Linked DNA regions of Xenopus tropicalis. The protein of the gene in region 1 interacts with the protein of each later gene in a biochemical or structural test. Links are inferred from orthologs where the notes say so. Each region holds a gene or a part of one and is shown on either strand. Other genes may lie near its edges.

What was found.
Region 2: the proteins of kpnb1 (region 1) and kpna3 form a complex in vitro, tested with the Homo sapiens proteins (2 studies listed by BioGRID and IntAct, with this or other methods). The link is inferred for Xenopus tropicalis from reciprocal best matches to the Homo sapiens genes KPNB1 and KPNA3.

Annotation. Positions count from the first base shown.
Region 1 is NC_030686.2:10,823,804-10,827,632, forward strand, and holds part of kpnb1 (importin subunit beta-1), read right to left. Parts: intron 3,749-3,829; coding exon 3,677-3,748; intron 1,211-3,676; coding exon 1,066-1,210; intron 607-1,065; coding exon 524-606; intron 115-523; coding exon 7-114; intron 1-6.
Region 2 is NC_030678.2:149,369,104-149,372,932, forward strand, and holds the end of kpna3 (importin subunit alpha-4), read right to left. Parts: intron 2,607-3,829; coding exon 2,444-2,606; intron 1,250-2,443; coding exon 1,155-1,249; intron 992-1,154; coding exon 893-991; 3' UTR 403-892; downstream 1-402. UniProt on the Homo sapiens protein: Functions in nuclear protein import as an adapter protein for nuclear receptor KPNB1. Binds specifically and directly to substrates containing either a simple or bipartite NLS motif.

The DNA.
Region 1 (3,829 bases):
ACTTACCCCTAAGTTCTCTAGCAGAAGCTGCATCATTTCGTCACAGAATGGCAAGATATTGGATTGTAGAGCACGGCACAGGTCACCAACAAGTCCTACTGCAGCTAGACACACCTGGGAAAAACAACAGGGTTTACAGAAGCCTATTCTTACACAAACGCAGGCAAACGTGCTACTTTCTACGCTATGTGGCAGAAATGCAAATAAACAAAAGGGAACTCTAAAACTTCCTACAGTCTGGAAGAAGTCTTCAGAAATTCATAATCAACAGAACATTTCTGTGTGGTGCATGAACTTGTCATCCAGAGACTCTCCAGCAACTAGACGTTTCTAGGGCTTTTTTGTACACTAAGAACACTGCAAAACGACTGGGGTATTTAATATGCCATTTAATCTCCATTTAGATTACAATCACATGGGGGAGTCCTAATAGATTAAAAATTGGCTTAGCATTTTCCAGAATCTACAACCTGCCAGTGCGGGCCAAGGTGGGAGAGTTTGGCAAACAGGAATGTCATCTTACCTGATACTCTGCATAATTTTTAAGTCCAATGCCAAGGAATGGTTTAAATGCTTCCATGTACTTGAGGAATTCTGCTCCAAGCACTATAAAACAGGAATGCAAACCCCATACTTAATGAAAAATAAGTAACATGTCATTATGGCATCTATGTGACATAATTGTTCAAGATGACATTCTCCACTAGCCACTGTTGGCATCAGTAATGAGATTTATACCAACATAAACTCCACAGTTAGTATTGTTGTTGGTATATATATAGTTTATGTATGCGAGTGTATAGATATAGGTCTGTATAGGTTTGTGGGTGCTGGGTTTACTTGGAAGGGTTGAACTTGATGGACTCTGGTCGTCTTTTCAACCCTATGTAACTATAGGACAAAACCAGGGCAATAAATGAAACAGTGGTTTGTAATAGTATGCAATTACGACTACACTTTACTTTGTGACAACCACTGCATTCATATTGATTTCTATTTGTGCCAAACTTTGCAAACATCAATCTTACACATAGGTTGTACTGCAACCACATCAGGCACCATTACCTTCCACTAGGGTGCTGACTGCCATGAGGGCATCTTCCTGTACTCCCCCAGAACCTGCAGTGCTCTGGAACATGCGGAGCAATGAGGCCATCACAACATCAGATATCTGTAGGGCATCCTGGTGTTGCACCTTCCTCAGCACATTCTAGAGAAAACCATAATAGGATATACAGATTAAGAAAGTATAAAAACAATTCTGATACATAAAAACAAGTATAAGAGGTTTCTCTTGCCACATGGATGCATTTTCTTGCTTGCCGGAAAGCACTTGCTTAACACAGGTAGGGGAAGTTCATATTCAAGGGCTGAGACATGGCAGTAGCCACCATAATGAAATCAATAATTTCATGTTACATTGTTGGAACTTCATGTTCACGATGAGCCACTGCCCAGAGCTTCACAGACAACATGAACAAACTGCTGATTAGTCTCGTTTCTTTGCGCAATTATTATTTTCAAGACAACTGCTCTATATTGTAAAGTCTTTGTATTGTCAAAAGTTCCAGAAGGTATTATAACAACTGCACATACAGTGCACAATGTGTGACAGAAGCACCCCTATATTTTGCACATAGATAATATGACCACCAAATATGTAGGATAGTTTGTTTCCTTACCACAACTCCATTAAAGTTTAGTGTACAAGCCAAATGGTCAAACCTGGAGGGGTTATGCATCCAAGTGGGAAATGGGGTGTGTTAAGAAACTGTAAATACCGTATACTGGTTTTAGTGTTGTACCATATATTCAAGGTAATTTGTATAAAGGAAAAGTACAATCATTGGGGGTTACCAAAATGTGTACACTGGACTGTTGCAGTTTTCTACTAATGAGCACCGGCCTGGGATACCTGGTAAGTGATTGTACCTTTCCTTGTACTTTATGATACCAGCGCAATGACTGCAGTTTACTGCACAAAAATGTTCAGTTTGCTTCCATATTTCCTCATAATTTATTAGGATATGGGAGTCTTTCAGGATTTATAGGAGTCTTTGGATAAGCGTATTGCAGTTTATGGTGTTTGTGGGCCCATTTAAAACTAGTCAGGGTCTTCACTCTGTAAAACGCTGTGGGATTTATACAGGTAGGGGCTGGGAGCAATAGAGGTTGCATGATAGCAACACCTTTTAAAATCAGGGCTTGATTTGTGCTCACAAGGATCGACAGTTCCACTTAGACTGAGTCACCATGTAAGATCTTGCTGCAGTACTGCAGGCAGCTTGCATTTCAGTGTGGGTTTCAAGTTGTCAAATGAAGCCGCCAGGGAACATAACAGTGCAGATAACATACTCCCCTTAAAGAAACAGTAACACCAAAAAAATATATCAAAGTGTTTAAAAGTATTAAAATATAACATACGGTTTCCCTGCACTGGTAAAACTGGCTTTTTACCAGTATGAAAATACTGCTGTGCAGCCATAGGGGAAGATATTCAACCTGCAAAAGTGGGTTTATATTTCTGCACAAGGCCTAAATCTATTGTATCATACAGAGCTTATCTGCTATGTAGCCTGTGCCATTTAGCCCTATTTCAGCTTGAATAGCTGCCCCATGGCTATAAATCAGCTTATTCATATAATCTATAGAAGTGTTTAAGCAAACGTACAACTACCAGTACAGGAAATAGACACCCTATATTTGAATTCATTTTCAAATTTTTTCATTTTTTGATGTTAATGTTTCTTTAAATTTTATATTCGCTGTGAAAATACTGGAGACCTAAAGTCGTCTTGTCCCAGGCATGTACTAAAAGGTTGCAGCCTTCAATAATTATACAGGTATAGGAAAAATCTATGATCTTGAATGCTTGGGATCGGCTTTCCAGATAAGGAATATTATATATTGGATAACCCATTCCTTAAGCCTGCTAAAAAAAAAAAAAAAACATTTAAACATTACATAAACCCAATAGGATTGCATTGACACCAATATGGATTGACGCAGCTCAGTTAGGATTAAGCACAAAGTGCTGTTTTATTACTCCAGAAAAAAAATAATTTAGAAATTAGATTTGGGGCATGTCAACCCCAAAAATAATGTTTTGCATAATGAAAGAAAACATAATTCTAAGCAACTTTCCAATATGAAATAATTAAATATTTGTAGCGCTTTTAAACGTTATTTGTAAATGTAATTGCTATTGAAAGCAGCATTTGCTGAGCTCCTGGTTGTTACATTTTAAACAATGTTGCAAAGGTCTTGCTTCTCCAGCAATACAGATCTGTCAGTCTGCTGCCTTGTGTTACAATGTTTCAACAGTCTGAGCCCCCAGGGCAGAGAATAGAAAAGGACAGGCAAACACTGCTTCTAATAGCAATTATAAATACAAATAACCCAAAAACCATTACAAACTTGTAATAAATGTATATTGCAAAGCTGCTTAGAGTTTTGGTTTCTTTTATTAGGCAAAAAATTATATTTTGAGTTGCCTTGTCCTATAAAATGGACTCCATGGGAAATGGACTTTTCAAATTCAGAGGTTTCTAGATAAAAGGGATCCAAAACCTGTATTTGTAATACACTTTGTCAAGAGGTTGAGAAATGTAAAGTTAGTTATGAATATTTAAACCACCCAGTAACTTTCGAATTCTTACATTATAACAGTCCTTACCTGAAGGGTAGCACATAGCAGGGACTGCAAGTCATTGAACTGGATTCTATCCGAAGTGCTCTGTATGTGGGACTGTGGAAAGAAAAGGAGGGTGGAATATATAAGAGCTCTACTGGCTACAAAACACAAACTAGTCTCACGCAGCAGATGCTT
Region 2 (3,829 bases), on another chromosome or scaffold:
CAACTAAAAGATGAAAGCAAGGTTCCATCCCCCCCACATTTTACATTTGTTCTAGTCAAAATCTCAGTATAGTTTTAGTTGTAAGGGACTCTTGCTTTCAGCTTCAGATACAGACATATTCTAGAAGCTCAGAGGCAACTCCATGCACAGTTTTGGTTACTTCAAAACAGCAGGATATGTATGTAGGAGTGGTCAAATACGGCATGATGTTCAAAAAGAATACAAAGCATTTTGCTTAGAAATAGTTCCGTTTTTTTTCCCAATCCTGACTTGTGAGGCAGTTTAGGAAACACCAATTAGAGACAGAACTACAGTTTTCTTTCTCTTAAACAATTTCTTTCACTGAATCACCCAAGTAAAACCTTTATTCGGTTTTGCGAATGAAATATTTTGGCTTGCATGTTTTTTTTTTTTTGTTTTCCATTAAATTTCTTAGTTCCACAAAATATGAAAATGTTCATGTAGGAAGATGGAGGCTCAGAGCAGACTACTCCTGCAATTCTTCCAAAACGTAGGCATCATACCAAAGTCTCGATGTACAGTGCACCAGATTCAAGAGAAGCTACTTTTCCCACAGTAAGCTGATATGCCACCACTATGGAATAATCGAACAGAAGAATGTTGTGGCGGTCAGCACATGGTGCTGAATGGAGAAGGCAGGAGATAGAGTTGGGACTGTCAGAATTTCAAAGGAAACCGAGATCATGCATATGCAATTACAGTCCGTGTGAATGTGACATTTGGCAACTGCAAGGTGACAGATAAACATGGTTTGCTTTAGAAGCATCAAAACGAAGAGGCGTGTGTATCTTTAAGCCTTTATGTTTCTTCAGCGGGTTGATGTCTGGTGGTGCCGTATGCTGAGGGACAGAAAAGCTGCACAGCAACATACTTAGAAGTTGAATTCCTTTGTTTGCAGACTGGTTGTTGGTTCAAAATGATATGTACCTCCTGGGGTAGCTTCGGGAACAAGGCTTTGATCTTCATCAATCTGCAGGCAAGAACATGAAAACAATCATTGTAATTTTGCACCTTGGCCACCGTTGGTTGGTTCTAAAAGACCGAGGGGAGAGGTTTTGCAGGTACTTAATGCTAAACCCCCATTTATAAATAAAAAGGCATTGCTATACCCAGAAAAGAGACAAGGCACTTACATCATCACCAGAGAAATACTGGTCTATGATCTCAAATGCTAGTTTGTAGATTTCTTCATTCTCATGTTGTTGCAGTGCTTCTATTTTCTCCAGTCCTACAGGAGAACACAGGAACAAGACATTTAGAAATACATCTTGATATCGGTTAGGTTTAGGTTAGGATTGCTACATGGTGTTTGCTGCTGCACCAATAGGTCTGTTACTTTTCAGAGGCAGTGATGCATTCTGCCATTTTTATCATAATTTATCCATGCAAGGCATTACTACACTCTAGGCATTACTACACTCTACGGACACATATTCCTCAAGGGGACCTGCTGCAGGGCATCCATAACCACAACATAAGGAAAAATGTCAGCTCATATTTAACTGAACATTAAAAGTGAAATGACATCCTCTCTTTAGCCCACAATACATCACAAACATGTTTTCTGCCTACAGACAACTCTTTTCATTTCTGAACTCCAGTGGGATCCCAGTCTGACAGCAACAGACACAAGAAGCCCATGGACCAGCAGCTGGCGAGTTAGAGTTGTTCGACATGTTATTCCCAAGAGGACCACAGTGCTTGTGCCAAAAGCCTTATAAATGTCACTTTTTCATGAAAATGGCAAAAGCTGCAGGAGGAAACTTGGTGCAATGTGTTTGCCTTCCTACTAGTGATTCACTTTAAAGCTGGTGGGAAGGCATTTCAGGAAAATTAGTCTCCCCTCGTCCAGAGATCTAACTGCAGGTGACTAATCTCCCCATGGGCCACCACCCTAACAGGAAAGCCTAAGCTCAGGGGGAAAACAATCAGAGCCAACTAATGGTTGTTCATTACATATGTATTTATACATAGCAGTACAACTCCTAAAGGCGTTTAGCTTTTAGTATGATGTGGACAGTGATATTCTGAGACAATCTGCAAATAATCTTGAAAATTTTCTGCATTTCCATTATTTCGTTTTTTCTTCAGCTCTTCAGTTTAAAATTAGGGCAGCTCGTTGCTAGGGTGCAATTTACCCTATGGTTTGGGGCCCCCTTCAAAGTTATGACCCAGGTAATAACCTTGCATTAAAATGAAGAACCCAACAAAGAATTCTTTTAGAAGCGTAAACAATTGAAACCTGCATTTTGGTATCAACTGTAGCCAGATCAACTGCCACTTCAACTCATCTTTATGGACAGTTAAATGAGTATATAAAGTTACATGATGCAACTTCCATCTAATTCAGCAACACTAGGGACTTGCACTTGGCCAGTGAGTTCTACTGTACTGATCCAGCTGATAGTAATCCAGTCCTTACCTCCACATTCCTCAATAATCTCAGCAATGGTACTGGCCTCATCCCCTGCCATTATAAGAATGTTTTTCAGACCGTCCAGAACAACCTGTACAACTTGGGAATCCTTCACAGACAGCAAACTGCAGAAGGGCGGGATAACATTTTGCTGCACAAGGTATTCCACCTGCATACGACAGAAAGATGTATTAGCCAATTTGTTCTACATACAGTATAGTGGCTTCACCTATTGCTCGATAAAATATAAAGTACCTATACATTTTGATATAAACATCTTTTATAACCTTTATACAAGAAGGACCACTTTACATTCTATGCTTTTTCGTTGACGTTTGTTAAAACAAGACAAGGATTCTACTGCTTTCCATCAGACAATCAGAGGCATTATTCTACCAGTGGGACAGTATGGGGCTGCCGCTAAAGGATAATTAAATGCCTTACACACCCAATACAGCACTAAGGGTGGGGGACTGGGCTTTTCAGAACCCCTTCAATACATAATCGAAAAGTAACAGTACGCATACATAAACCAATGTTTCCTAACAGAGATACCCCCATGCATCTTTCTGAGTTATAGGGTACACATATAGGCAAAGCATAGCAAGTTAAAGTCAAGTGTATTACACACACACGGTAGGAAATTTATGGGAGAAGAGAAATTACTTACACACCAAGCAATACAGGAGGAAACCAGTTTCTTAAATAAGAATAAGTAAACTAGGGATGTACCGAATCCACTTTTTCAGATTCGGCCGAACCCCCTGAATCCTTCGTACAGGATTCAGCCGAATATTGGACCGAATCAGAATCCTAATTAACATATGCTAATTAGATTTTGGAATGGTTAAATGTCGCCCACGCTAAGCACATGGTAAAAAATCTGTCACGTAAACACAGAAGTTTAAAGTTACGTGATTTTTAGGATTTGGATTCAGTTCAGCCAGGACTGTGGATTCGGACGAATCTTGGCCTAATCCCAAACCGAATTGTGGATTCAGTGCATCCCGTGGTGAAACATGCTGCAGAAACTTCCTTTTCTAACGTGAAGCTTCACCCATTAAGGGCTCTGGCACATGGGGAGATTAGTCGCCCGCGATCAGTGAAATCGTGCTGCCGCGTATGCCATCCCACCGGCGATTTACATTTTGCCGGTGGGATGGCATTTCGGGGAGATTAGTCGCCCGCGAACAGGGAGATTTGTCGCGGGCGACTAATCTCCCTGTGTGCCAGAGCTCTTAGTATAATGAGCCTCCCTTCTCCTTTGAATAAGAAGCCGGTTGAATAGGTGTCTACTGTGGTTATTTGCTGCCTCCAGCTCCAATGGAAATCAATCAAGCATGCATCGTAGACACCTCAGACTGGTTTCCTATTGAAGGAAGGAAGGCTCAT